Linked DNA regions of Canis lupus familiaris. The protein of the gene in region 1 interacts with the protein of each later gene in a biochemical or structural test. Links are inferred from orthologs where the notes say so. Each region holds a gene or a part of one and is shown in the gene's direction. Other genes may lie near its edges.

Region 1 (4,848 bases):
GAGTAGGGACACTGGCTGAGTCCCCAGGCCCTCTAGGACCCTAGGAGTTGAGCCTGTCTCTAGAATTCAGCCCTCAACCCCCATCCTCACTCCCAGCACCCCACTGCCCCTCATCCCTTCCCCACTTACCCTGGCTCTGCTGAGCTGCCCCCAATGAAGCCATAGCGATCAGCCTGGCGATATGGGCCAGGCCCACTCAGCTCTGAGTCGGACCCCAAAGAGCTTGAGTCATCCTGCAGCTCGAAAGGTTGTACCAGGTCCTCCCCCAGGGCCTGGGCCATGGTGCCCCAGACCCAAGCTACCACAGGCTGCAAGATGTGGGGAAAGCCAGTGTGAGAGGCAGCTTCTGACCAGCCTGGGGCCTGAGCTCCCATCCAGCCGGTCCCCAGCCCGGGGACCTGGCTGCAGGGTTCAGAGGGCACAGACTTCAGGGCATCTCACCAAGCCCCCTCTGTCCCCTCTTTTATCGGGGTGGGAGGGTGAGGGTGAGAGTGAGCCTTGAAATGGCAGAAAAGCCAGACCTCTGTGTAGAGGCTGGTCCCCAGGCCCAGCCCCTGCCCCCCCAGGCCAGCTTACCTCCCTGCTGCACCTCACCTCCTCCTCTCACTTCCTCCTTCTCAGCAGCTTCAGCCACCGGCTGGGGGGCCCCTCCCACACTCCCCTCCCAAGTGTGTGGGGGGGTCACCTCTTCCTCTCTGAGGCTCTTCCGGCCTGCCCCAGTGCCCCCAGGACCGTGGGCTCCTCCCACCCTCCCCATGGGCTGGGTGGCTGCAGGCTTGGGCTCCAGAGCAGGGTGTGACCAGTCCAGGACCCACCCGAGTTACAGAGGCCAGGCCCCTCCAGTTTTGAGGTTAAAACAATTCAAGATTCCAGTGAGAATTCTCGTTTATTTAATATTTGCTCTTTACAAGTAATGCTTTGAATATATACCTAACGCAGCGTTATTATGCACTCAGCAGGCAATAACGGAACTTACAAAAATTAGTTCAGCGTGCAGCACAGCGTGGACCAAGATGGGTTCAGAGCGCCGCGGCAGGTGCCTGGGTCTGGCCAGCTGCCTTGAGGGCCGCAGAGACTCAGGAGGTGGAGGCCCCCCGTGAATGTGAGGCCAGGGTTTTGGACCAACCCACCCCCCTGCTATCTCTTGAGTCTCCGTTTCCTTTTCTGCACTTCGAGGACTTGATCCGCAGTGTCTGGAGCATCGGTTATTAATGTGCTCATACCACGCTCCCGCCCAGGGGGTGGGTTAGCGTCTGACAGAGACAAACAACTCCCACAGCACTTCCGGCCCCATATTCTCGGAACTGGACTCGGGTAACTCCTCGGGGGCGGGACCAGACTCGACCCCGCCCTCCGAGCTCCACCCACCGGCCGGGCTCCGTCCCGACGGCCGAGCTCAGCCCGAGCCCCGCCCCGTCCCCTATGCCCCGCCCCCCGGGCCGCCGCGGCCGCTGCGCGCGGTGTCCGGCGGGAGCGCTAGAGCGCGGGGGCAGCGCGCAGGGCGGGGCGGCGGGCCGGGGAGGCGGGGCGGCAGGCCGGGGCGGGCCGGGGCGGGCGGAAGGAGCGCCAGGCCGGAAGGAGGCAGCGGGCGGGAGGGAGGGCGGCAGGAGCGGGCCCGGAGCTGCTGGGGCGGAGCGGCGGCGCCGCCATGTCCGACAGTGAGAAGCTCAACCTGGACTCCATCATCGGGCGCCTGCTGGAAGGTTGGCCGGGGCCGGGGAGGTCGGTGCCCGCCGCGCCCTGGCCCGGAAGTGGTGCGCGGGCGGGCCTGCCCCTCCCCGGGCCAGCTTAGACTGGGCGGGGACGGGCCGCAAGGTCCCGTGGCCACAGCCGCCCCCCGAGTCGCGGCGCGCCGGGGGAGGGGGGTTCCGGGGACGCTCTGGCACGGGGAGCAGCCCCCCTCCTGGGCGGGGGGCGCACGGGTTGGCCTGCGCTATTGGGAGTGAGGGAGAAACCTAAGAAGCCTAGCTCCACCCCTCCCAGGGGTCCTGCGCTATGGGTGGGGTGTTGGGTGGCAGGCCCCCGCGCACAGCACACCCCCTCGAGGGGGTCCCATCCTGGGAGGCCAGAGGCGGAGGTCCTGGGAGGCTCACCAGCAACAGCTGCCCCTAGGCAGGGAGGGGCCTAGGAGGCCCAGGCGCCCTCAGATGTGCCCATAGGGCCACTTGTGTCGCCCACCTTCCTCCTGCCTGAGGGACCAGAGTCTTGACACCCCATTCCTCCCACAGTGCAGGGCTCGCGGCCTGGAAAGAATGTACAGCTAACAGAGAACGAGATCCGTGGTCTGTGCCTCAAATCACGGGAGATTTTCCTGAGCCAGCCCATTCTTTTGGAGCTGGAGGCACCCCTCAAGATCTGCGGTGAGTCTGCTGCCCAGATCCCTTTGGCTTTCTGAAAGTGGAATCCCCACTTCACCCCGCCCAGTCCTTGCATTGCTGCTCCCTGGAGCCCGAACTTGGCCCTGGGTTCAAGTGTAGCCCCTGCACCTAGCGCTGAACCGGTTCCCTGGGTTACAGGTGACATCCATGGCCAGTACTACGACCTTCTGCGGCTCTTCGAGTATGGTGGCTTCCCTCCAGAGAGCAACTACCTCTTCCTGGGGGACTACGTGGACCGGGGCAAGCAGTCTTTGGAAACCATCTGCTTGCTGCTGGCCTATAAGATCAAGTACCCCGAAAACTTCTTCCTGCTCCGTGGGAACCATGAGTGTGCTAGCATCAACCGCATCTATGGCTTCTACGATGAGTGTGAGTAGCCCAAGTCCTTAAGTGACTTCCCTTTTCGGGGAGACCCTCACATAGGCCTGGCAGTAGGGGAATTGGTGTCTGACCACTACCCACAGACCGCGAGCTCTGCGAAGGGTGCACACCAGTTGGTGCCTCTCTGCCTGCCCTCCTGCCGTGGGGCCGGCACGCAGGAGGGGTCTGGGGAGTGACTGCTGAGGACTGCCCATGTTCTAATGCAGGGCCCTGCCTCATGACACTCCCCTCCAGGACATCCATTAGGCACTTGGGATGCCTATTTGGACTGGATCCTACCAACCAGAAGCTGAGATAAACCAGGCCTAGTCTTGGCCTGGCCCTGCTCACTGGGTGCGGGTGGGTTGTTTCGGATTGGAACTCAGGTTCCTCTGGACCTAGCTGCTTTAGAATTCCTGGAAGGCTGGTAGGCAGCGGAGTCGGGGGAGGGGGGATTCTCTTCTTGTCTGCCATTCTCTTCTCCCAGCTGTGTCTGGAGGGCCTCAAGACCCAGGCTGGCTGTGGGGCAGATAGGCCTCATGAGGCATCTCCTTCCTCCCAGCAGGCAAGAGACGCTACAATATTAAACTGTGGAAGACCTTTACTGACTGCTTCAACTGCCTGCCCATTGCTGCCATCGTGGATGAGAAGATCTTCTGCTGCCATGGAGGTGAGAGTGGCTCTAGGGTACATGTTGAAGGGTTCTTTGGGAAGGAAGAGCCCTGGGCCACATCCCGGGGAGCCCTGGGATGAGGCTGTTAGCTGGAGGATGTCTTCCCCGTCACCTGGAAGACCTCTCCCAGTGGTCTTGGTTTGCATGTCACTCTTTGTTTTGAGGCTTAAGCAAGTAACCTGCCCTCCCCCAGGCCTGTCCCCAGACCTGCAGTCCATGGAGCAGATTCGGCGTATCATGCGGCCTACAGACGTGCCGGACCAGGGCCTGCTGTGCGACCTGCTGTGGTCTGACCCTGACAAGGACGTGCAGGGCTGGGGCGAGAATGACCGTGGTGTCTCCTTTACCTTTGGGGCTGAGGTAGTGGCCAAATTCCTGCACAAGCACGACTTGGACCTCATCTGCCGGGCACACCAGGTGGGCTGGCAGCTCTGGGGCGGGTGGGAGTGGGGCCTGGGTAGCCAGCACCTGCTGAACAAACTGCCCCCATCCTCATCCAGGTGGTAGAAGATGGCTATGAATTCTTTGCCAAGCGGCAGCTGGTGACTCTCTTCTCGGCTCCCAACTACTGTGGCGAGTTTGACAATGCAGGCGCCATGATGAGTGTGGATGAGACACTCATGTGCTCCTTCCAGGTTGGGATGGGGGAAGGAGGGGGGCTGGTGACCCTGTGGCTTAGCCCATGAGTTTGACCAGCTCTTGTCTTTTTTAGATACTCAAGCCCGCTGACAAGAACAAGGGGAAATACGGGCAATTCAGTGGCTTGAACCCTGGAGGCCGGCCCATCACCCCACCCCGCAACTCCGCCAAAGCCAAGAAATAGCCTCCGCGTGCCCGCACTCTGCCCCAGATGGTGGATTTGTACAGAAATTACGTGGCCATAGGGGGTTCACGCTGGCCCCCCAGGCCCACCTGTCACGGGGAACACGGAGCCTTGGTGTATTTTTTTTTTTTTTTAATGAATCAATAGCAGCGTCCAATCCCCCAGGGCCCCTTCCGCCTGCTATAGTGGTGGCAAGCAGGATCCTGGGGCTGAGGCTGCAGCTCAGGGCAAAGCAGGGCCAGATGTGGGTTTCCAGCCTTGCTTGGCCTCAGGGCTGGCCGACAGATCCTGGGGCAACCCATCTGGTCTCTTGAATAAAGGTCAAAGCTGGATTCTCGCCATGGCCTCTGTCTCCCTTGTCCCAAATACTGGGCCTGGCAGCCCTTCTGTCCAGGGCTGCTTGGGAGGATAGGCATGCTGGGCATGGGGCCCCAGCTAGGGCAATCCCAGCCATAGGCTCAGGTCCATGGGGGCTTAGAATTCCAAGCTGGGGCCAGAGAGTATAGAGAAAACAGTTTGGTGACCACAAAGGATTCCAGAGGTGTGTTTAGGATTTAAGGGACAGACAAGTCATGATTGGCAAAGAAGGTAAATCAGCAGGGGCTCATAGCCCC
Region 2 (5,204 bases), on another chromosome or scaffold:
TGTCTCTGTCTCTGGCCTCACCTGGTCTCTCCGGTTCTCAATCTGTCTCCTCCAGTCTCTCTCTCTCACTCATTCTCTTCCCCGCCCCCCACCTCAGCACTTTCCCTTCCAGTCTTTTCTGTTTCTGTTCCAGATCTTTTTCGTTCGGGCTGACACAGAGTCTCTTCCTCAGGTCTCCATTTCGTTCTCCCCCCCCCACCCCCACCCTCTAGCTCTTCCTCCTTCTCTCTATCTCTGTCCCCACCGACGCTGTTTCCTCCTCTCTCTCAGATTCCCCTTCTGTCTTCCTCCCCTCTCCGTTTCTCTTTCCTCCCTGCTGGTCTGCCAGCCGCCCACGCTGCGGTCTCCCCTTCCAATCCCGGTTGACCCCGCCCCTCCTGGCCTCCCCCCACCCCTTCCAAGCCTGACCCCTGGCTCCGGTGCCCCACAGCTGAGGGGAGGGGCTGGGGCTCCCCTGACTCCTGGGTCCCTGCTGGGCTGGGATTCCTAACTGTTTGGAGAGGAGGAGCTGGGCCTGGACTCCAGGGCCCAGGTCACTGTACCCTAAAAGGAGGTAGCTGAGATCCTGGAATAGAGGGGGCTCACACTTCTGGATACACGAAAAGGTGTAAAGGTGTGAGCCTGGAGTTAGAACTCCTGAGTTGTTAACGGAGTCCGGCATCTGGAAAGGTGTTTCTGGGTGGACAGGTCCAGGTTTTCCAGAGGAGGGAGTGACCCCGGATTCCTGGATCATGGCTAGGGCAGGGTCAAGGGGCCATGGCCAAACATCTATCTCAGATCCAGGTGAGCACTGTGTTCTACACTGAGGATATTTCAAGGAGCAAAATTAGGGACCAGGTAGGAGGGATGGGGCAGGGAATTGGGACTGTGTCCCAGAGTCTGAAACTTGTGGCTGGAGACCCCACTCCCATGAGGTTCAGTGGATGCACTTTGGCCAGAATTTCGGTTTGTGTATGAGCTCTTGTGAGTTTGAAGTGGATGAAATCCAGGTGCGGAGCCTCGGGCTTGAGACCAGTTAAGGAGTCTTTTGAGGTTTTGGTTTCGAATCCACTCACCCACATATGTCGAGCACCTACTATGTGTCCAGCACCGAGGGGGGAAAAAAAAAAAAAAACAATGATTATGGGGATCCCTGGGTGGCTCAGTGGTTTAGCGCCTCCTGATCCTGGAGTCCCGGGATCGGGATCGAGTCCCGCATCAGGCTTTCGGCATGGAGCCTGCTTCTCCCTCTGGCTGTGCCTCTGCCTCTCTCTGTGTTTCTCTCATGAATAAATAAAATCTTTAAAAAAAAAAAAAAAGAAAAAGAAAGAAAGAAAGAAAAAAGCAGTGAGCAAAGCCAAGTGCCTGCCTTCAGCGTGCTTGCATTCTTGTTCTCATCTGCAATCAATGTGGATTGCTGTGACCACTTCCGCCAAGGGACTTCATTCCGGAGCCTCAGTTTCTCATCTGTGAAATGGAATCAACCATCTCCCCAACCAGGAAGGAAGCGGGACCGTTGTGAAGGGGGGACTCTGGTCTGAGGCCTGCTGATTACACTGGGGTTTTGGGAAGGCGTTTTCGCACCGGAACGGGAATTGGGAGAAAACCCGCGGCTCCCGAAGCCCCGCACGCATTTGATTGACAGCTCGCCCGTTTCGGGCGTGGTCGCGCTCGGAAACGTCGTTGTGTCGTCATAAAACCCCTGGAATCTCCGCGAGAATTCCAATCCCGAGCCGGGTGGTTTTGGTTTCAAAACCCCGCCCCCGTGACGTCAGCACGTGAGGTTGCGCTGGGCTATAAAGGCCTTTGGAGGCTGCGTCAGTTCCAAGCTCTGCTGTGCAACTTACACGCTCAGGTTCAGGACGCCGCATCCCTTCGCCGCGACAGCGCTTGCAGCAGCCGGTGGTACCCGGAGTCCCCGAGCCCGACACCGGAGGGCGAGATGAACGCGCTGGCCTCCCGAGCCGTCCTGAGCTGCGATCGCTGGTGGCAACCCGAGCCGGCGCTCCTGCCCCCAGGTTGACGCGTAGCCCCCCATCGGTGAGCGAGGGGTCCGAACGCCTGGGCCCCGAGCAGTTGGGGAGCTGGGGATCAGACTCCTGGTCAGTAAGGAAGAAGGGATTACCCATTTCTGGGTACCGAGACAGGAGAATTTGAGGCCGGGACCCCAGGATCCTGAGGAAGGAGGGCCTGGGAACCGGAACTCCTGTATTTGGGGAGAGATGGGACCAGGACAGATTCGAGGGCCCAGACCTACGCAGGAGAAGAAATTGGGAGCCTGGAGGCCTGAGCCTGGCGAGAGGAGGGTTCTGGAAGCCAAACTCCTGGATCCCTGGTGGAAGGGATGGAACTGGGCAGGGGGAGCCGCAGTTCTTGAGTCTCAGAGGGGGGAGGGTGATGAGGGCCTGATTTGTCGATCCTCAAGAAAATGACAGAACCAGGGACTAGGACCTTGTCCCCAAGGGAAGCAAGTCGAGGACCTGTGTTCTCAATTCTGGGGTCTGGGACTGCTGGGTCTGAGAGAAGAGGCTGGAACCTCTGACTCCTGGGTATTGAGAGAAGAGAGGTGGGAAAGCTGTGCCTCTGCTAGAGATGGAAGTGGCAGAAATCAGCAAGAATGTGGGGCAGGGACTCTCTTGTTGCTATTTGTGTTACTGTTTATGGTTGCTATGACTCAGTCCTCGCTTGATACTCTTCCCTAAATGGCTTCTAAACTATTTCCTTTGTTTATTTCCAGCACAGACAGATGGCCCCAGGCCAAGTGCCCCATCAGTCTGCCCCCTGGAGGGATACCTACCCCTTTTTCCTCCTGTCCCCGCTGATGGGCCTTCTCAGCAGGGCCTGGAGCCACCTGAGAGGCCCAGGATCTCCAGAACCCTGGCCGTGGGAAGCAGTAACCAAAACGGATCGGGGAAAACCTGGCCTGGAGAGAGAAGCTAAGACTTTTCTAGTCCCCCACCATCCCCTCTGGGGCAGGCACTTTGAAGAAGAGATTGGAGACAGTGGAGCAAGTGATGAGAATGGAGAAGCATTTTGGGGGGCCCGCCATAATCTAAAAGCCAACAGCTCTTCTCTTAAAGCAGGGGGACTTTCAGATAATGAAGATGAAGAATATGGTGGGGAACAAGCAGCAACCAGTGTCCCTAAAGAGCAGGAAAGTGAATTCCTAGATGGCCAGCCTGCTCCCCTGTCCCCCAGCCTTCTGATAAGAACCCCACAGGACCCTTCTGAGGAGAAATCTGAGGAAGGAGGAGCTGCAGAAGACAAAGTGGTCATGTTCTTCTCTTTTCCTCCATCACACTGGGAGTGTTGTCCAGGGGAGGAAAAGGAGGAAGGAGAAGCTATAAACAAAGAAGCTTCCAGAACACCGATTTTCCCTTTATCTCCAAGATCCAAGCCCAAAACTCGGGTGTACTGTCCCAGGGAGGAAGAAGATAAAGCCATAGAGGAAGAAAGAACAGAGGATAAAGAAGCCACAAAAAGCTCCATTTCCTCCTCATTTTCAGGCTTTTGCCCCGGGGCCTGGGAGTGTTGCTCAGGAGAGGAATGGGAGGAGGAGGAGGATGAATTCAGTGATTCAGGAGCAGCTGAGGAGGAAGGAGAAGCTGAGGTTCTCTCTTCCATCCCATCCACAAGTGCCCTCATGAGGGCCTGGGTGTATCGGCCAGGAGAGGAGTCAGAGGAAGAAGATGAGGACAGTGATTCAGGAGCAGCTGAAGAGGAGAGAGAACCTGAGGGTCCTTCCTCCATCCCATCCACAAGTGCCCTCATGAGGGCCTGGGTGTATCGGCCAGGAGAGGACTCCGAGGAAGAAGGTGAGGACAGTGATTCAGGAGCAGCTGAAGAGGAGGGAGAACCTGAGGGTCCCTCCTCCATCCCATCAACAAGTGCCCTTGTGAGGGCCTGGGTGTATCGGCCAGGAGAGGACTCAGAGGAAGAAGATGAGGACAGTGATTCAGGAGCAGCTGAAGAGGAGGGAGAAGCTGAGGGTCCCTCCTCCATCCCATCCACAAGTGCCCTCGTGAGGGCCTGGGTGTATCGTCCAGGAGAGGACTCAGAGGAAGAAGATGAGGACAGTGATTCAGGAGCAGCTGAAGAGGAGGGAGAAGTTGAGGGTCCCTCTTCCATCCCATCCACAAGTGCCCTCGTGAGGGCCTGGGTGTATCGTCCAGGAGAGGACTCAGAGGAAGAAGATGAGGACAGTGATTCAGGAGCAGCTGAAGAGGAGGGAGAAGCTGAGGGTCCCTCCTCCATCCCATCCACAAGTGCCCTCGTGAGGGCCTGGGTGTATTGTCCAGGAGAGGACTCAGAGGAAGAAGATGACGGTGACTCAGGAGCAGCTGAAGAGGAGGGAGAAGCATATGATCCCTCCTCCATCCCATCCACAAGTGCCCTCGTGAGGGCCTGGGTGTATAGGCCAGGAGAGGACACAGAGGAAGATGATGATTCAGAAGCAGTTAACTCAGAGCCAAGTCCCTCACTTCAGGCTCAGAGCACCCTCCTCAGGGGCTGGACATACCAGCCTGGAGAGGACACAGAGAGAGGGGGAGAAGCTGAGCCCTGCCCCTTCCGAGTGGCCATCTATTTACCTGGAGAAAAGCCACCACCTCCCTGGGCTCCTCCTCGGCTGCCCCTCAGACTGCAGAGGCGACTCAAGCCCCCAGAAACCCCCACCCGGCATCCAGACCCTGAGACTCCCCTAACGGCCAGAAAGGTGGGTACTGAGGGCTCAAATTCTCAAGTCTTAGGGGAAGAGCTGGAAGTCCTAGGCCTGGGGGCAGAAGGCCTGAGTGCCCCAATTTCTGGACCCCCTGTGTGTTGCAGGGGATTGCATGCAAACCCTGTTGGGAGGGTTGTGTTCACTGTAATGCAATCCTTTGCAAGAGGCTGGGGCCCCATGGGAAGAGGCCCTGTGGGAAGAGGGAAGCTGTTGTGGTTCATGTCAGCACCAGGAAACAGCCTCCACCTGCAGTGAGTCACATGGAGAATCCCGTGGGTGAGCGACTAGCAGGTGACTAAGATAACAAGCATTTTTGTGCAACTAATTTTTGTTTTGGCTCTCTCTCTCCCCCCTGCCCCCCCTGTGGACACGTGTGTCTTGTGTCTGTGCTGGTCCGTCTCCAGGTCCGTTTCTCCGAGAAAGTCTCTGTCCATCTCCTGGCTGTCTGGGCAGGACCGGCTCAGGCAGCCCGCCGCGGACCCTGGGAGCAGCTCGCCCGAGATCG
Region 3 (3,789 bases), on another chromosome or scaffold:
GAGCACTTCCGTCGCCTGGTTTGCTGTCGAGGTCAAATGAGTGGGTGAGGCATCCCCCATGGCATCAGGCTCACTTCACTGGGATTACCGGACGTTCTGTATGGCCGAGGCCCACCCTAGGTGGTGCCCCAGGTCACCTGCCAACCTGGGGCAAGGGCCTTTCCTTCTCTGGCTGCCAGTCTCCCTGTAAGATTGGAGGGATCAGACTGGATGCCCCAGGCAGCTGAGAGAACAGGCCTGCATTTCTTCCCAGAAATGCTACCCGCTTGGCAAGAAAGCAGCCTCGACGTCCACATTTCCTGCTGGAGCCTGTGCAGAGCCAGAGGCCCCAGGGGTGTGGCAGCCTCAGGGGAAAAGGGTATGTTGTGTGGGCTAAGGTGGGTGGCCTCCTTTCCTTCCTGCTCCTCATGGGGGGACCTTGGCCTGACCAGCTCCTGCCTCCTGCTTAGGTCTGAGGCACCTCAGGAGTGTGACCGAGGCCTGGTCTGGCCAGCAGGCCCTTCCCTGATGAGGCCTTTCCCACCAGAGGCCTGGATGGCACTGGTCCCAAGCAGCCCTTCACCCCAGCCCAGGGCCCTGCTGGGTCGCCCTGGCCTGAAGCTGCCCCCCACATTGAAGACAGGCCCAGAGCTGCTGCCCCCTTCATCCTTCATGCCGTGTGGAGTGGAAGCACCTGCCAGGGTGAGTCCTCCCGGTCACCTGGGGGTCATTCTTTGGTTGGGCCTTCGGTGCTTTTCCTCAGGTACTCGGTGCTGCTGCCACAGCTGAACTCATTGCTGCCAGAGCTACCCGCGCCAGAGGGCGCAGGGAAGGCACCCACGTTCACCACATGCAGGTGCCCCCATCCTAGAGACACGGTATGGAAAGGCTGCCCAGGCCCCCACTTGGGAAGCTTCTATCCTAGAGGTGGAGCCCCAGACACTGCAGACCGTGGAGGGTCCTGCGGGCCCTGGGGAAGCATCTGGATTTTAAGAAAAGTAGGAAATGGTGGGGGCTGGTTTGGCCTGCTCTGCCCCCATGGCCCAGCAGGTGCTGGGAGCCAGGAGTAGGTGGTGGCTGTGGTGCGGGCAGATCCCATCGTGGGAGGCAGAATAGGCAGGACCTGCTCCGATGGGTCTGATAAGGGTGAGGAAGGAATCCAGGATGGCTCCTGGGTATCTGGCCTGAGTAACTCCAGGAATAATGAGTTCTTTTACTGAAAGAGGGAAGACGGGGGGTGGGGGCTCAAGGGCTTGTTTGGGGTAAAGCCTGGAGAGTCTGTCTTGAGCCTGTCAAATTTGAGATCAAGTACCAAGGTTCTGAGTGTGGCCTTCAGAGAGCAAGTCAGGGCTTGAGAGCAAGAGAGTCTGCAATGTACATTGAAGGTTAACTCCTGGGAACCAAAGAGGTCACCTGGGAGGAAAGGGGCGGTGGCTCCCTGGGGCAGGTGACATCCAGGTGGAGGAGTCCAGGCTGGGATGGCACGGTGGTATGGGAGGCCCACGTGCTCAGAGAGAAGACAGCGGCAGGGTTGGGCCATGCCAAGAGCTGGTGCTGAGGGGAGCTGGTCAGTGTCACTGGAAGGTACTGGAGGGTTGTAGATGTGTGGTCTGACCAGGACGATTGCCTTTGACCACCTTTCCTCACTGATGTGCAGGGTCACGGTTCAGATCAGGGTCAGGGTAAAACTGCTGCTTGGAGAGGTGCTGAGCCAGGCCCTGGAGCAGGGGTGGGACTAGACTGCACAGGTGAGGGGTGTTCCTCGGGATCCTGCGGGACTTCCTCCCTTGTGTCGGGTCTGAAGAAAGGGGCAGGGGTCAGGACTAGACTGGGTGAGCTGGTCAGGTCAAGTCCTACAGCCTCACCTCCCCACGCCCTGCAGTGGGCAGCCTGGGTGCCTCCCCCAGCCTTCTTCCCAGCTTCTGTGCTCACCCGTCCTCCCTTTCCAGGCCTCTGCACAGCCCACCACTCCTGGGCTCACACTTCAGGCCTCGCCATCCCCAGCCAGTGTCCCTCAGTCCCGCCTGCTGCTTCCTGGGGACTTCATGGGCACTGGGCGCAGCTCTGGAACCATGGGTGTGCACCCAAAGCCTGTCAGCACTGCGAGCACTCGGGCCGCTCCTGGTGCCTGGGCTCCCTCCACTCAGCCTTGGCCTAGCCGAGAGGGGGGTCAAGATCAAGCCTGTTCTCCTATCACCGCGGGCCACGACGACCTGGAGGCTGAGCTTGAGAGCATCCAGCAGCAACTGCAGGACTACCAGACCATGAAGCAGAATCTCTCGTAAGACCCAGAAAACCCCAGGTGTTTCCCCACAGCTGGCTTTGGGGTGGGGGTGTCCTTGGGCAACTTGGGCCCACCCAAGTTGCTTGCTGAGCTGGGTGGTGGAGGACAGAACACAGCCACCCTCCCCACCTCCCATCAGAAGTAGCAGATGTGCCGCTTCCTCCCCTGGAGGTGCTGCCACAGGCCGGCCAGGCCAGCAGCAGGTGTCTCACTCCCTCAGGTCCTGCCAGCGGCAAGCAAGAAGCCTGCGCAGGTGGCTGGAGCTGAGCCAGGAGGAGCCCAGGCCTGAGGACCAGGAAGCAGAGCAGCAGGTGCAGGAAGAACTACAGGAGGTGAGGCCTTAGGCAGCCCTGGAACAGCTTTCTCCCCTCCTATCTCCGCGCTTTGTCTCCGCTCAGCCTCCTGCCCCTCCCCCCGTCCCCAGGTGGAGCTGCAGATCCAGCAGCTGGCCTCTGAGCTCCAGGCCCAGCGCCAGCCCATCCGCGCCTGCATCGCCCGTGTCCAGGCCCTGCGGCAGGCTCTGTGCTAGTCACTGCCCCTGGGAGGCCTCAGCCCACCTCCAGGAACAGAACGCAAAGCTGCAATGAGTTTAATTTTTTTATTTCAAAACGTTGCAATTAAATGAATTACTGTTCAGAAGTCTCCTACTTTTCATACAAAAATACTGTGCTACTGATACAGTTGAAAGAGTTCAAATGGCTTCTCCTGCAGGAGAAATTCACAGCGTCCCCAGGAAACCTGAATCCTGGCCCCACCGTCAGCGGCTCCCTAAGGACTGTGTACCTATTACCTGGGGACAGGTGTTGTAGGCACTGACCTGCCCCCCCCCTTTCCCAATACACCAAGGCTCCTTGGCCTCCAACACCAGCCCCTGAATCAATAGCAGCAACTTACCATGTTTCTGTAGGTCTGGGTAGGAGGGGAGGATGAGCTTCCCCCGGCCCCTCCTAGGCCACCACTACCTGCCTGTCCATTCACTTGGGACACCATTCAAGGGGCTCAGTAATTGGTCCTGCCACTGGAAAGAGGACTCGCCAGCTCTGGAGAGTCCCTCACTGGGGCCTGTAAAGCGCCATGCCATGGTGTCCCCCCCCCAGAAGATGCTGGCGGAGCCAAGGATGATGTGTTCGGCCACAAGTGCAAAGAGACAGCTTTTCTCAAACGAGCAGGGTGGGTGAATTGGGAACAGAAAGCGGTTGTGTTAAAGGCCACATGGTGCTGCTCTGGGGGCAGCACAGCCCAGTCGGTGCAGGCGAGGCAGATGGGGAGGCTGGAAAGCAATGATGAGAGCAGCAAGAACACACATAACCACTTTTCTGTCTTACAACAGAAATCAAGACCAACGGGACATCCAGCCAGGAGACGTAGGGTCTCCCAATTTATACAATAGGTTAAAAAATATCCAAAAGGGAATTTGAGATCATCTTGGCCTGCACATTCTCTCTTTTTAGGGTAGGAAGAGGGAACGACGTAGGTCCAGGGTCGACAGGGACTCTGACCTCATCTACACCTCGGGGACGGCAGGA
Region 4 (4,414 bases), on another chromosome or scaffold:
GAGCACTTCTGTGTTTGTGACATTACAAATTATCTTTAATAACTTATAATGTAAAACTACAGAATTTTCTATTAAATCATTGTTCATCTCTTATTTTTTCATTGCTGGGTATATTGTTCCCTGTTTTCCAGTTGTCTCAATTGTATTGCCACCTTTGAATGTAGATTTAATTGTTTTGTACTTCCTTTGGAAATTTGTACATTCCTAATAAAGTCTGACTAGACTATAGTATCAATTGGTCCAAAAAGGTTCAGGATATCCCTGTATTAGGGATGTACTGGAGTTTGTGTTGCCTTAATTATAGAAACTGCTAGTTGTGTGGGTATTTATTTGAAAAGTTTGGTTTTAATGTTTTCAATAATCTCATTATTAAACGAATCTGTAAGTGGAAAAGCTGGCAAGAGGATAGGTGCCATAGATAAGAGATGTGATTTGCCAAGTACGAAAAGCAAGAGCTGTAAAGGTCTTTGTTTTTTTTCCGTATATTTGGAAACACATTTTGTCCTTTAAATTCTCTGACCGTCTTTTTTTCTCTAAACACTGCCTTCCCCATCTCTAATGTGGTCTGCTTTATAAGCTCTTCGCTACACTTATTTGCTACATTTCCTTGATTTTTTTTTTTTAAGATTTTATTTATTCAGGCAGCCCGGGTGGCTCAGCGGTTTGGCGCCTGCCTTCAGCCCAAGGCGTGATCCTGGAGACCCGGGATCGAGTCCAACGTCAGGCTCCCTGCATGGGCCTGCTTCTCCCTCTGCCTGTGTCTCTGCACCCCTCTCTCTCTCTCTCTCTGTGCTTCTGTGTCTCTCTTATGAATAGAGCAGCAGAATGAAGCCAGTGTCCACACTCTTCCACTAACCATGTGTTAAAAGAACAAGAACTAAACTCAAGGAAAAAGCAGGCAGGGTTCAAGTGTCCAAACAGCTAAGAACAGTATTATTGTGTTGTCCTAAAGGCAAACAAAGTATCAAGGAGCCTGACTTAGATTCATCTTATAAAAGATTTTCTAGGGGATCCCTGGGTGGCTCAGGAGTTTAGCGCCTGCCTTCGGCCCACAGCATGGTCCTAAAGTCCTGAGAGCGAGTCCCGCATCGGGCTCCCTGCATGGAGCCTGCTTCTCTCTACCTCTCTTTCTGTATCTCTCATGAATAAATAAAATCTTAAAAAAAAAGAAAAGAAAAGAAAAGAAAAAGATTTTCTAGGCCACCTTTTTTCCTATAATGCCAATAGTAATAATGGCTTAAAAAAAATCAAATAGGGACACCTGGGTGGCTCAGCAGTTGAGCATCTGCCTTCAGCTGAGGGTGTGATCCCAGATTCAGGGATCGAGTCCAGCATTAGGCTCCCTGCATGGGGCCTGCTTCTCCCTCTGTGTCCCTCTCTCTCTCTCTGTTTCTGTGTCTCTCATTAATAAATAAATAAAATCTTAAAAAAATAAAGATTTTATTTATTCATGAAAGACACAGAGAGGCAGATACAGGCAGAGGAAGAAGCAGGCTCTTCACAGGGAGCCCGATGTGGGACTTGATCCCAGGAGCCCGGGATCACGACCTGAGCAGATGCTCAACCACTGAGACACCCAGGCCTCCCAAGAGTTTGAGCCTGTCTCATCTTCTCCTTAAAACTCTGGGCTACGTTTTCTGTTACATAGATTTTCACAGTATATCTTTAAACCTCTGTATTTTCTATTATTGGAAGAATAATATTTTTAGTTACTTAGGGATTTTCCCTTATACTCTCACCTGCAGAGCTCCGGAAATTGGCTTCAGTCCTTGTCAGTGACTGGATGGCTGTCATCCGCTCCCAGAGCAGTACCCAGCCTGCTGGTAAGCTCCTTAGTCTTTTATCCCTTGTATTTATTTCTTTCCCACTGGCCTTCGGTGGCTTTAGCCTGCTTCACCTCTTGACAGTCTTTCTCTTTAAATAAAATCCTTTTCTGCTTTGTTTTTTCACAACAGAGAAAGATAAGAAAAAACGTAAAGAAGAGGGGAAGAGTCGAACCACCCCTCCCGAGCGACCCTTGACTGAGGTGAAGGCTGAGACCCGGGCTGAGGAGGCCCCAGAGAAGAAGAAAGAGAAGCCCAAGTCTCTCCGAACCACAGCACCCAGTCACGCCAAGTTTCGTTCCACTGGTAGGGTGGTTGGCTGGTCTTGGGAGAGTCTGTGGGCAGATGTACACCTAGGGTCTTGTGGTGGAATAGTGGATTTATGACATGGGGAAGAGAGAAGATGGAAGACTAGTAGGTGAGGTTTGGGCTGGGTAAAGATTTAGTGTTGGAGTGGGGAGGAAGAGTTAGAGTGGTAATAAGTTCAACGCAATGGCATGTTTCTTCCCTCAGGGCTAGAGCTGGAGACCCCATCTTTGGTGCCTGTGAAAAAGAACGCCAGTGCAGTGGTGGTTTCTGACAAGTACAATCTTAAACCCATCCCCCTCAAGCGTCAGAGGTATGGCCCTTGTGTACTGGGTTCTGTGTGGGTTATGTCTGTGGACATGAGGGAGGAAGAGGGGGCAAGTTAGGGTGCATCAGAGATCATGTTGATGGCTCATCTTCCAACAGCACCACAGTTGCTCCAGGAGATGGTGCTCCCCCTGCAGAGAAGAAATACAAGCCACTGAACACCACACCAAATGCCACCAAAGAGATCAAAGTGAAGATCATCCCACCACAGCGTGAGTCTGAAGTAGAGGAACACACTTTGAATTGGGAGAGAACTCCATGGAAATGAGTTGGGGGGGTGGTACAAGATGGATTTCTTAGTTTTGTGTGCTTGTCTTAATTTTTGCACCTCTGGAGCTCCTCTTTCATAGGATTACTTAGAAGTAATCTTGGGTATGGGAATGGGGTGCTATTCGGTGACTGGTTCGGGGTGCTCCCAGTCTCGGGATAGTCGGTCCTGTCCATGAGGGTTGTTTTCCTAAGTCACCTGAGCTCTAATTAATACTGAAAGCCTCAAGTTGCTTTTATTTAGTTATTATTTATTACTAGTTAGTTAGTTAGTTTAGCCCCCCTGATGCGTGGGGCTCGATCCCAGGACCCTGGGATCGTGACCTGAGCTGAAGGCAGACGCTCAACCCCATGAGCCCCGCCAGACACCCCAAGTTGCCTGCCTTTATTTTTATTTATTTATTTATTTATTTATTTATTTATTTATTTATTTATTTATTTATTTATTTATTTTAAAGATTTATTTATTCATTCAGAGAGAGCAAGAGAGAGGCAGAGACATGGGCAGAGAGAGAAGCAGGCCCCATGCAGGGAGCCCGATGCGGGACTCGATCCCGGGTCTCCAGGATCGCACCCCAGGCTGCAGGCGGTGCTAAACCGCTGTGCCACCCGGGCTGCCCAGTTGCCTGCCTTTAAAAGAAAGAATAGGGCACCTGGCTGGCTCAGTTGGAGGAACATGCAACTCTTTATCTCCAGGTCATGAGTTCAAGCCCCCATGTTGGTTATAGAATTTCTTTTTTTTATTTTAAAGATTTTATTTATTTATTCATGAGAGACAAAGAGAAAGAGAGGCAGAGGGAGAAACAGGCTCCACGCAGGGAGCCCGATGTAGGACTCCATCCCGGGTCTCCAGGATCACGCCCTGGGCCGAAGGCAGACGCTCAACCACTGAGCCACCCAAGCATCCTGATTATAGAATTTTTAAAAACAGGGGCAGCCCCAGTGGCCCAGCAGTTTAGCATGCCACCTTCGGCCTAGGGTGTGATCCTGGAGACCGGGATCGAGTCCCACGTCAGCTCCCTGCATGGGGCCTGCTTCTCCGTCTGCCTCTCTCTCTGTATCTCTCATGAATAAATAAAGTCTTTTTTAAAAAAACTGAAAAACAAAATTAAAAAAAATTTTTTTTTTCTTGTATGAATCCAGCATATGCATCCTGGCCACCTTGAACTTAACTGTGTCCTAAGTTGGGGTAGGGTCTCCATTGGCCCATTTCCTGCTCAAACTTTGTAGGAATAGGATTGTGAAAGAGGTCTGATGGTTCCATTTTATGCTTTATCCTCTTGTAGCTATGGAGGGCCTGGGCTTCCTGGATGCACTCAATTCAGCCCCTGTTCCAGGCATCAAAATTAAGAAGAAGAAGAAGGTGTTGTCACCCACAGCTGCCAAGGTATGAGCCCTGTGCCGTAGATGTCAATGACAGGATATCTAAAGTGAAAGGAAGGGCCCAGGAATGGTTGGGAGGACCACAGGATGTGGACTGGGGTGAGGGTTGGGGGGCTGGCAGTGGGAGACGCAAAGTCTTCCTTCATCTGAATCCGCAGGGGAGCCTGTCTAGGATGCTGGACTAACTGCCTTACCTTAACCTTGGCTTTCGTGTCAACTCATTAACTTCTTTTTCTTTCACAATAGCCAAGCCCGTTTGAAGGGAAAACGAGCACAGAACCGAGCACGGCCAAACCTTCTTCCCCAGA
Region 5 (5,075 bases), on another chromosome or scaffold:
TCGGCGCCGCCCGTCTCGCCCATGGCCGCCCCCGGCTGGTGCGGCCCGGCTCCCGGCTCCCTGCTCCCTGCGGCCCGGCTCCCTGCGGCCCGCTCCGTGCGCCTGCGCGCCGCGCCCTCTGACCCCGCAGGCCCCGCAGGCCCGAAAGCGCGGGAACGCGCAGCAGCGAGGCTCGAACCTCCAGGAGCTGGCGCAGCATCCTCCGCCCGGCGAGCAGCGGTGGGGGCAGCGGTGGGGGCAGCGGTGGGGCTCGGCGAGGTTCCGCGTCGGCTCTGCTGCCTTAACCGGGCTTTTAGACTCGCTGCCTGCAGAGCAGAAGGACAGGGGGATGCAAGGCTGAGCGGCAAGGTAAGCAGTCCCGGGGGCCTTCCCGACCCCGGGGGGCGCTGGGCTAGGGGCGGCGCTCAGCGGAGCCGAGGCTCCTCCGGGGGTCCGCCCGGGATTCGGAGGGCCAGCCCAGCCAGCCGCCTGTAGCCCAGACGACCACCTGCTCGGGAAGATGCCACCTGGTCCATTCACCTGCCCCGCGGGCCGAGCGTGCACCATCGGTGCCACCAGCGCGGTCCAGTGTACTGGGTCCTGCACAACTAAGACCTCGTCTGTTTCTGAGGCCAGCAGGTTGCCAACAACACCCAAGTCCCCCGAATGTTCTCCAGGCAGGAGAGCACACTCGCAAACAACCACTCTAAATCTGTCCCCATGCCAGGACCTGTACCAACCCATTATCCCCTGCATCTGTCTTGTACCTAGCCCCGGCATCCCCTGCACTGGGACCTGACCTCGTCCCTGCCCCTGCCATCCCCTGCACTGGCAATGACCCTGACCCTGCCACCCCTGCACCAGGACCTGACCCTGACCCTGCCATGCCCTGCACTGGCACCTGACCCTGACCCTGCTATCCCCTGACCCAGGACCTGACCCTGACCCCAACCATCCCCTGACCTAGGACCTGACCCTGACCCTGCTGTCCCCTACACCTGACCCTGACCCTGACCCTGCCATGCCCTGCACCGGGACCTGGCCTTGACCCTGCCACCCCTGCGCCAGGACCTGACCCTGACCCTGCCATGCCCTGCACTGGCACCTGACCCTGACCCTGCTATCCCCTGACCCAGGACCTGACCCTGACCCTGCCATCCCCTGCGCCAGGACCTGACCCTGACCCTGCCATGCCCTGCACTGGCACCTGACCCTGACCCTGCCATCCCCTGACCCAGGACCTGACCCTGACCCTGCTATCCCCTGACCCAGAACCTGACCCTGACCCTGCCACCCCTGCACCAGGACCTGACCCTGACCCTGCCATGCCCTGCACTGGCACCTGACCCTGACCCTGCCATCCCCTGACCCAGGACCTGACCCTGACCCCAACCATCCCCTGACCTAGGACCTGACCCTGGCCCTGCCATCCTCTGCACCGGAACCTGACCCTGACCCTGACCCTGACATGCCCTGCACCGGGACCTGGCCTTGACCCTGCCACCCCTGCGCCAGGACCTGACCCTGACCCTGCCGTCCTCTGCCCCGGGACCTGACCCTGACCCTGACCCTGACCTGCCCTGCACCGGGACCTACCCCTGACCCCAAGCATCCTCTGCACTGGGATCTGCCCCGGGCCCCGACACTGGGGCGCTCGGGGGCGCTGGCTCCGAGGGCAGCGGGGGCTCAGCCCCGGCCCCTCAGGGCGCCCCTAACGGGGCTGTCCCCAGCATCCCGCCCGCAGCCCCCAGCCCCCAGCCCAGCACGCGGACGCCGAGGCTCGGCGGGTGGCCGCCCGGCGCACGGAGCTCCCGCGGAGCGGGCCTGGAGGCGCGGGGCCTCCTCCAGGCGAGACCCGGCGCTCGCTAACCTCGCCGCCAAACGCCGGCTGCGGCGACGCCCGCCAGCCGAGGCCGAACCGCCGCGGGCCGCCCTCGCCCCCGGGACGCGCTGCGAGCGGCGGCGCCCGGCGCCTCTGTGACGCCATCAGCGCGCGCGCCGCCCCGGCCCCGCCCCGCCGCCTTCTGCGCAGGCGCGGCCCCGAGCTGCTCGGCGGCGGCGGGAGGCTGCGGCGGCGGGCGGCGGGGGATGGTCCAGCGGGCGCGATGGCCCCCGCCATGCAGCCGGCCGAGCTGCAGTTCGCCCAGCGGCTGGCGTCTCACGAGAAGGGCATCCGGGACCGCGCGGTGAAGAAGCTGCGCCAGTACATCAGCGTGAAGACGCAGAGGGAGACAGGTGGGCGCCGGGCGGGCAGCGGCGCACATGGCGGCGGGGGGGGGGGGGGGGGCTGCCCGCGGGGGTTTGCGCCGCGCTCGCCCGGACGAGGGGGCGGGAGGGGGCGGGCGGACGGACGGACGGACGGACCCGACCTCCGGGGGGCGCCGGGGGGCCGGGGGGCTCGGAGAGGTCCAGAGGGCGGGGAGGGGATGGGGAGCGGGTCCGGGAAGGCCTCTGCGGTGGCGAGCGGAGCGGGAGCGGCTGCGGGAGCGGCTGCGGGTGCAGGAGCGGGAGCGGCTGCGGGTGCGGGAGCGGGTGCGGGGCCGCGCTGCGCTCCAGGCCGTCGGGGCTGCAGCCCGAAGCTCACGGGCCCCGACATGCGGTGCAGCCCCCGGGGGTGCGGACCACCGCCCACGGCGCAGGCTCTGCGCTGCGCTCGGATTCATTTTGACGTGTTGACTGCTAACACTACTGCCTTGAGAGTCTACTGGACAGAACAGGTATTGGGACACCCCCACCCCCACCCCGGTGGCCCAGGGCGTGACCCCGGGGTCCTGGGATCCAGCCCCGCATGGGCTCCCCCGCAGGGAGCCTGCTTCTCCCTCCACGTCTCTGCCTTTCTCACGAATAAGTAAATAACCTAAAAGAAAGAAAGGACAGGCGTTATCTGTCTCTGTACTGACTTTCTCAGTTCGTTTGGTCTTTGAGGAGAGATGGAAAAGGACCACCCCGGGGGAAAAAGAAAATACAGTTCTGTGGGACGTGCCCCAGAAAGGAGGGAAGACCAGATTTCTGACTTCAGTTCTGCTTAGGGATCTCGCGGAGAGGCGACGTTTATTATCACAGCTTCGGGTCCCCGAGTGCTCGAGTTGCGGGAGCAGACCTGGCTGCTCCCAGCGCAGATAGGATGCACGGACGAGGCGCTTCCACCTGGGTGTCCCTCGTGGGCACCCCAGACTCGAATGCCCCAACGTGATTCATTCTCCTCCTCCCTAAAACCTGTTCTCTCTTGCTTCACTTTTGCCGCCTGTGTTCTCTCATCTTAGGTGCTAGCTCCCGCCATCCCCTCAAAGCCAGGCTGGACGCACCATAATGTCCTGGATGGCTCTTCCCGGTCTTCTCCTCCACCCCTCATCCATGGTCTCTTGCTGCTTCTGCCTGTTTCATCTGCTGAGTTACTCTGCCCTCACCGTTTATCTCATCTAGACTCTGAACTTGCTTATTTCCTAGCCAATCTCTTTAAGTCCATTTGACCCTCTATTGAACCTCTCGTCCACAAACCAGCCCGGGTCATTTTCTAAAAACGGTTCTGATCACGTCACCACCTTCTTGGATTTCCAGGTCTGCAGGCAATGGTCTGTCCTCCCTTCTCTTGCCACTTCGGCCCCTACGTGATGCTTTGTGCTGACTCTTGGTATACATGCATCGTTTCTCTCCTCTCCGCCTTTGCTTCTCTTGCGCACTCCTAGCATTCAGTTCAACATCACTTCCTCCAAAGTGCCTTCCCTACCATCTCACACCACCCCTCCAGGATTCCAAAATATCCAGTGTGTGTCTGTCATGGCACTTAGCTGTGTGGCTTCTTCGTTCTCTGTTACTGTATCACTCTTCCCCAAACAGTGTAAACTTCCGTCTGTCTGCTTAGCTGGAAGTGGGAGCACATCCAGGCATACCGGGCTTGCCTCCACACAAGAACACAAGAAAGGCCAGATGCAGTACATATGGGCTGAAATGGCCAAACAGAGCTTGATGAGCGGGCCCAGGATCTGCAGGGACATGGGCATGAGGCCACTGGGTCTGCACCAGTGCCCCCAGGTCCTGTTTGGTCAGTGCCCATCATGCCAAGAGAGACTATCTTGTTCACCACCACGCCCACGTTGCGTAGAGTATGCTGGGCCTCTGAAGAAGGAACTGCATGGTGAATGTCACAGACGGTGACAGGGAGGTATAATAAGCCGGGCTTCTGCCGCCACTGTCCCCCGTGGACCTGAAATGCAAGTTGGGGAGTAACTTGACCTGACGTGTGTGTCTCCTTGACAGGCTCACGGTTTGTTGTGTTTTGTTTCGTGTGTAGTAAAGGAAATCTGAAATCTTAGTCTTACTGGTATGAAGAACTGCCCACCAGCAACATAAATAGTTTTGTGGGGGTTTGTTTTTTTGTTTTAAGTGATCTTGGGGCACATGGGTGACTCTATCGGTTGAGTGTCTGACTCTTGATCTCCCCTCAGGTCTCAAACTTAGAGTCATGAGTTCAAGCCCCACCCTGGGCTCCACACTAGGCATGGAGCTTACTTAATAAAAAATTTAGGGACGCCTGGGTGGCTCAGCGGTTGAGCGTTTGCCTTGGGCTCAGGGCATGATCCCAGGATCTGGGTTCAAGTCTCACATCAGGCTCCCTGCATGGAGCCTGCTTCTCCCTCTGCCTATATCTCTGTCTCTCTCTCTGTCTGTTTCTATGAATAAATAAATAAAATCTTTTAAAAAAAATTAAAAAAAAATAATCTCTACGACCAACATGGGGCTGGAACTCACGATCCCAAGATCAGGAGGCAGATGCTCCACTGACTGGGGCAGCCAGGAACCCCAGAAGCTTTGTAAACAAATTGGGAACTTTTGTAGTGCTTAAAGCAGCTAAATGATGCTCTGGGGTGTTGTAACTTCACACAGAGCACGTACAGAATGATCGCTATCTATGGTTTTACCCATGAGAGCTCATTTGTACCGTTCATTCACGTCTTCAGCAAACACAGAGCACCTACTGTGTGCTCTTACTATTGTTGGCACTGAGAATAATAGAGCAGGGAATGAAAAACAGACACACACACACCCCCCGGCTTTATTGATTCTGCAACTGTAAACATGTAACATCTGCAGAAACT
Region 6 (4,414 bases), on another chromosome or scaffold:
CAGGAATACATCAAACTCAACCAGGTAAGGAAGCCTGGAAGGCAAAGCCATTGTTACTTAAAAAAAGAAGTGGAGAACCAGCTCTGCTGGTTGAATGAATTAAGTTCCAATTTCACCCTGGCTGAAATTCATGAAAGGAATCTTGAGCTCTTGGCTCACCTTATTTAAATGTGAGACAGAGTATGTTAGGAATAGAGGGGTTATAATACTACCACTGAATGTGAGGGGGGTAGGGGAGCTTGTATTGCATTTAGTTATTAGTCACCTAATTGTTCCACAGCTAATTACTAACTTTTCACCAATTATAGTAGCCCTACAATTTAAAAATCAGTTCTCATTCATACTGTAAAAGTTACAGATAGAACATATCTGTGAATTCATTCAGATTTTTAGGTCATGGGTTATTTGGTTTTTGATTCTTATTTCTTTTCAGTTAGATTCTTAAAAGAACTACCTGGCTAAGTAGGACAGAGCCTTATTTCCCATAATACTATATTACCAATATAGTGATGGAATTATTCCTTCACATTTGATTTATTGAGAATGTGGTCAATACGTGCTTGGGGAGGAGAGAGTATTTTATTTGCAAAAGCCATTTAAGATTTCTGCCAGATTTGTTTAATTAACGTCACATTAGCAGCAATAGTCATCAGTGCCCTCAATGCCACTGTTAAGTTGAAGATTTGGAAAGATTTGAATTAATTCTTCCTGGCGGTTTTGCATCCCAGAGTGCTAGTTGAAGGAACATGTTACTGAACATTGCCTGGCATGAGAGGATTTAGTAAACACAGAAAGTATTTTGTAACCATGAGAGTTAAAAATTAAATATGTAATGCGACAGCTGTACCAGCTCTGTAAATGATAGTTATATTTATGTCTTAGAATTCATCAGCCAGTTCTCAAGTTTTTGAGTATGGACTTAATTTAGGCTGATTCTAGACCCATTCCATTAAGAGTTTGGGGATGATGAGTATTTTCCAGAGTTTGGTATCCATCCTGGAGGTGATAAGCAAGGTGATGGTACACAGCACATGAATGAACTTCTTGTTGTTTATGTATGATTTCACAGCCATTATTCTCTGGGCTGAGGTAAACAACGTGTTTAAGATTTTTTTTTTAAATGAATTAAGTTAAAATAAAGAAGCAGTGGCAAGTGCTTAGATGTGGCTGAAGGTGGGCTTTGATGACAGAAATTGGAAACAGACCTTGATGCGTCTCAGGCATTAAGGTTGTTGAGGCAAAGAGCCAGTTGCTTCCCTGTTTTGGTGTGTATTGTTTTGTTTTGTTATGCCTTAATAAAAAAGCAAATAAAAACGGTCTTAGCCTTTTAGAATAAATATTACGGGCAGAGGGAAAAGGGGATTGTGAGCGTTTGGGCTGTTTTTACCTTTTGGTTGCCGGGAATAGTGCTGCTCTGAATAGATGTTTACATGTATTTGTTTGAGAACCTCTTTCTACATTCTCTCAGGTATTTATCTAAGGATGGAATTGCAGGGTCATATAGCAATTCTCCGTTTAACTTTTTGAGGAGCTCTCTCATTCATCTCTATTGTGACTGCACCATTTTACATCATTACCAGCACTGCACAACGATTCTAATTCCTCAGCACCTAATACTTGTTACCTAGCTCCCCTTTATTTTAATGATAGCCATCCTCATGGGAGTGGCTTAGTTCTTGATAGAAATCAGTACCAAGGGAATTATAAGTTCTAAATCATAGAGGTAGGGGTTGCTGCAGCTCCTAAAGTGCACGTCACACTTCTTCTTTGGTGCTGGCACCATCATGGTATTGATAATTTTAAATCTGCCTTGTAATGTCTTTGGAGCTGAAGCCTTGGTGTTGAGAAATGGGCTATACCTTATTGACTCTTGTGTTTTGTCCTGTGATGTGTATTAAGCTGCTCAGTCTGATGTTGCTGAACTTATTTTCTAAGCAAAAAACAGCAGAAGAAGAAAATCCAGAGCACAAAGAAATTCAGAAGATGATGGATTCTCTCTTCTTAAAATTGGATGCCCTCTCAAACTTTCACTTCATCCCTAAACCAGTAAGTGTGTTAACATTTCATTGTGTGGTCAGAGCAGATGTGACCTTAATTCCTCTGAGCTTTTGTGAAGCTAACTCTTTATTTGGTTTTAGGATACAAACCTGTAGGAATTCCTTATAAATTACATGCAGGGCCTCTCTTGAGGATGGTTCACATCTAGTCCTAGACAAGTCTGGCTTTGTCTGCTGATCCAGCCTGATCTCCAAATGGGCCCTTCCCAGGCCTCAAGTCTTAGCCACAGGGTCTCTTCATTTCTTACTCTTTCTTATTGTTCAGCCTTCTGTTTTATTTCCATCCTGCAGTTGGTTTGGAGACCTGTGGTGTCTGTACCTGATATTTTTTGGATACCTGCTCTGTGCCATATTAAGTCCTTTATGTACATTAACCCCTCTTCCCCAGTTTGATTAAGACAGATCTGTAACACTGTAAGTTTAAGATGTACAACAGTGGTTTGATACATAGGTTCCCCCACATTCGGAAAGCACATGAAGCCTTTTGCAAGACTAAATGGGGTAAAGCAAAGAAGCAATTACCATTCATTCAATGGAAAATTTTTTGAGCATTTTAGACCCCAAAAATAATCTGTTGTAGGCTTTTCTGATACTTCAGGACCAATCTTGTAATGGATGCGCAAATAAATTGAGATAAAGCACAGATGCTCACAGACATAGTTTAAAGCTCTGGTGACTTAATGCTGAGATACCAAGTGTAGTTCCTGAGGAAGGAGCTGGGCAGAGCTGCTTGCTGCAGAACAGATGCTGAATGCTATTTTTGTTTTCCCTTTTTTTAAAAAATAAAAGTGAAAAATGTTTTCAGATCTCTTTCACTTAGCAAGAGCAGATACTAATGTAGGTATTTTAGAGTGACCTAGCATAAACTTTTGAAAGGTGTGGCATACCTGCATGAATATATTGAGGAATGATTACCACGGTAAGTTTAGTTAATATCCATCACTCTATATAGTTGCAGTTTTCTTCCTTATGATGAGAGCTTTTAAGATCTACTTTCTTAGCAACTTTGAAATATAAAATACTGTTAACAGTAGTTACCCTGCTGTATATTAGATGCCTAGAACTTACAACTGGTAGTTTGTACTTGGACTTGACATCCACCTGTTTTCTATCAGTTGGGTTGTTTTAGATACATCTGAGATTGTTACTAAGAGTTAGATGGAAAAGGAACGAAGCTACCATTATTTCTCTGCCCCAGTAAAGAATTACAGGACAGAAAAATGAAAGCAAAGCAAAGTTTTATTAAATACCCTCCAAGGGAGGAGTGAGCCAGCCAAGAGAGACAATGCCCCAGAAACTGGTGCATGGGGGCGTGGGCTTATATTAGTTTTTCCTTTTGGGTGGGTCCTAGGGTGGCAACATTTGAGTGACAGGCCTGGATTATATTAGCCAAGTACTCATGTTCTTTCCCAAGATGTATTCTGAATGCCTGCAAGAGTGGGAAACTGCAACATTATTTCTGTTATAGAGACAGAAGGACAAATGGCTGCTTTCTGCAGAAGTGCAGTAAGTGCAACAAACTTAACTCTTCCTCTGCTGGGATGTTGCAGCCCCAGACCTACTGCTTGATGGGTGGAATGTAGTGGTCCCTGGGTGGGGCTCTCTGGCAGGATATCTAAGGTCCATTCTCCTGTCGCTCATGCCTAGTTTCCTGCCTAACAGGATCGTACGGTATTTATCTTTCTCTGTTGACTTCCTCCCTCAGCATAATGGCCTTAGGGTACATCAGTGTTGTCACAAATGGCAGGATTTACTTCTTTTTATGACTAAATAGTATTTCACTCTGTATTTATTCATTCATCTGTTGATGAACACTTATATTGTTTCTATGACGTGGCTATAGTAAATAATACTGCAGTGAACACGGGGGTTCAGATACTTCTTTGAGCCAGACATGGGCACCAGCTTGGCTCTACAGATGGGTGAGGTTGCTGGCCAGGATCTCTCCTTGGGCACTGCTGTGAGGAGGAATGTGGTCTGCCAAGGTCCAGGTACTGTTGCTATAAGCCCTGCCCTTGCTCTCCATCCCAGTCTGAACCCCAGTGATCAAGCCTCATATTTTCCCTCCCTGATCCTCCTGACACAGACACAATTGGGCCTGCCCAGAAGCATCCTGCAGTGCTGGGAAGCTGAAAGGCCACCTTGGGTTCTGTTCCACTGGAGAAGGCATAGGCTAGGTCTCATTCTCAATGGGGCACTGTTCTGGCCTGGGATGATATGGTGAGAGTGTAGCCTCTCCTGTACTTCGAATGTGGTCCAGAGGGTTGCTTCAGCATCATCCTCAGGTTCTGGGATTTTCACAGTGCTCTCTTGTCTGTGGATAGTTGCTAGTTCAGATTGACCAGGGTTGCCATCTT

The links.
Region 2: the proteins of PPP1CA (region 1) and PPP1R15A are reported together in a solved structure, tested with the Homo sapiens proteins (2 studies listed by BioGRID and IntAct, with this or other methods). The link is inferred for Canis lupus familiaris from reciprocal best matches to the Homo sapiens genes PPP1CA and PPP1R15A.
Region 3: the proteins of PPP1CA (region 1) and SFI1 form a complex in vitro, tested with the Homo sapiens proteins (2 studies listed by BioGRID and IntAct). The link is inferred for Canis lupus familiaris from reciprocal best matches to the Homo sapiens genes PPP1CA and SFI1.
Region 4: the proteins of PPP1CA (region 1) and PPP1R10 form a complex in vitro, tested with the Homo sapiens proteins (2 studies listed by BioGRID). The link is inferred for Canis lupus familiaris from reciprocal best matches to the Homo sapiens genes PPP1CA and PPP1R10.
Region 5: the proteins of PPP1CA (region 1) and RRP1B form a complex in vitro, tested with the Homo sapiens proteins (4 studies listed by BioGRID and IntAct, with this or other methods). The link is inferred for Canis lupus familiaris from reciprocal best matches to the Homo sapiens genes PPP1CA and RRP1B.
Region 6: the proteins of PPP1CA (region 1) and MPHOSPH10 form a complex in vitro, tested with the Homo sapiens proteins (2 studies listed by BioGRID and IntAct). The link is inferred for Canis lupus familiaris from reciprocal best matches to the Homo sapiens genes PPP1CA and MPHOSPH10.

Annotation. Positions count from the first base shown.
Region 1 is NC_049239.1:50,565,053-50,569,900, forward strand, and holds PPP1CA (serine/threonine-protein phosphatase PP1-alpha catalytic subunit), read left to right. Parts: upstream 1-1,552; 5' UTR 1,553-1,648; coding exon 1,649-1,703; intron 1,704-2,228; coding exon 2,229-2,360; intron 2,361-2,516; coding exon 2,517-2,747; intron 2,748-3,303; coding exon 3,304-3,408; intron 3,409-3,604; coding exon 3,605-3,828; intron 3,829-3,911; coding exon 3,912-4,046; intron 4,047-4,123; coding exon 4,124-4,234; 3' UTR 4,235-4,367; downstream 4,368-4,848. Other genes in the region: TBC1D10C (carabin), read right to left, coding at 130-374. UniProt on the Homo sapiens protein: Protein phosphatase that associates with over 200 regulatory proteins to form highly specific holoenzymes which dephosphorylate hundreds of biological targets.
Region 2 is NC_049222.1:108,160,954-108,166,157, reverse strand, and holds the start of PPP1R15A (protein phosphatase 1 regulatory subunit 15A), read left to right. Parts: upstream 1-1,790; 5' UTR 1,791-2,081; intron 2,082-2,716; 5' UTR 2,717-2,725; coding exon 2,726-4,693; intron 4,694-5,103; coding exon 5,104-5,204. UniProt on the Homo sapiens protein: Recruits the serine/threonine-protein phosphatase PPP1CA to prevents excessive phosphorylation of the translation initiation factor eIF-2A/EIF2S1, thereby reversing the shut-off of protein synthesis initiated by stress-inducible kinases and facilitating recovery of cells from stress.
Region 3 is NC_049247.1:24,909,446-24,913,234, forward strand, and holds the end of SFI1 (protein SFI1 homolog), read left to right. Parts: intron 1-253; coding exon 254-358; intron 359-449; coding exon 450-681; exon of another isoform or gene 682-1,727; intron 1,728-1,928; coding exon 1,929-2,260; intron 2,261-2,483; coding exon 2,484-2,595; intron 2,596-2,687; coding exon 2,688-2,792; 3' UTR 2,793-2,902; downstream 2,903-3,789. UniProt on the Homo sapiens protein: Plays a role in the dynamic structure of centrosome-associated contractile fibers via its interaction with CETN2.
Region 4 is NC_049233.1:560,615-565,028, reverse strand, and holds part of PPP1R10 (serine/threonine-protein phosphatase 1 regulatory subunit 10), read left to right. Parts: intron 1-1,745; coding exon 1,746-1,823; intron 1,824-1,955; coding exon 1,956-2,129; intron 2,130-2,336; coding exon 2,337-2,442; intron 2,443-2,555; coding exon 2,556-2,668; intron 2,669-4,009; coding exon 4,010-4,110; intron 4,111-4,352; coding exon 4,353-4,414.
Region 5 is NC_049252.1:37,532,260-37,537,334, forward strand, and holds the start of RRP1B (ribosomal RNA processing protein 1 homolog B), read left to right. Parts: upstream 1-2,021; 5' UTR 2,022-2,084; coding exon 2,085-2,214; intron 2,215-5,075. Other genes in the region: HSF2BP (heat shock factor 2-binding protein), read right to left, coding at 1-23. UniProt on the Homo sapiens protein: Positively regulates DNA damage-induced apoptosis by acting as a transcriptional coactivator of proapoptotic target genes of the transcriptional activator E2F1.
Region 6 is NC_049224.1:38,436,641-38,441,054, reverse strand, and holds part of MPHOSPH10 (U3 small nucleolar ribonucleoprotein protein MPP10), read left to right. Parts: coding exon 1-24; intron 25-1,935; coding exon 1,936-2,046; intron 2,047-4,414. UniProt on the Homo sapiens protein: Component of the 60-80S U3 small nucleolar ribonucleoprotein (U3 snoRNP). Required for the early cleavages during pre-18S ribosomal RNA processing. Part of the small subunit (SSU) processome, first precursor of the small eukaryotic ribosomal subunit.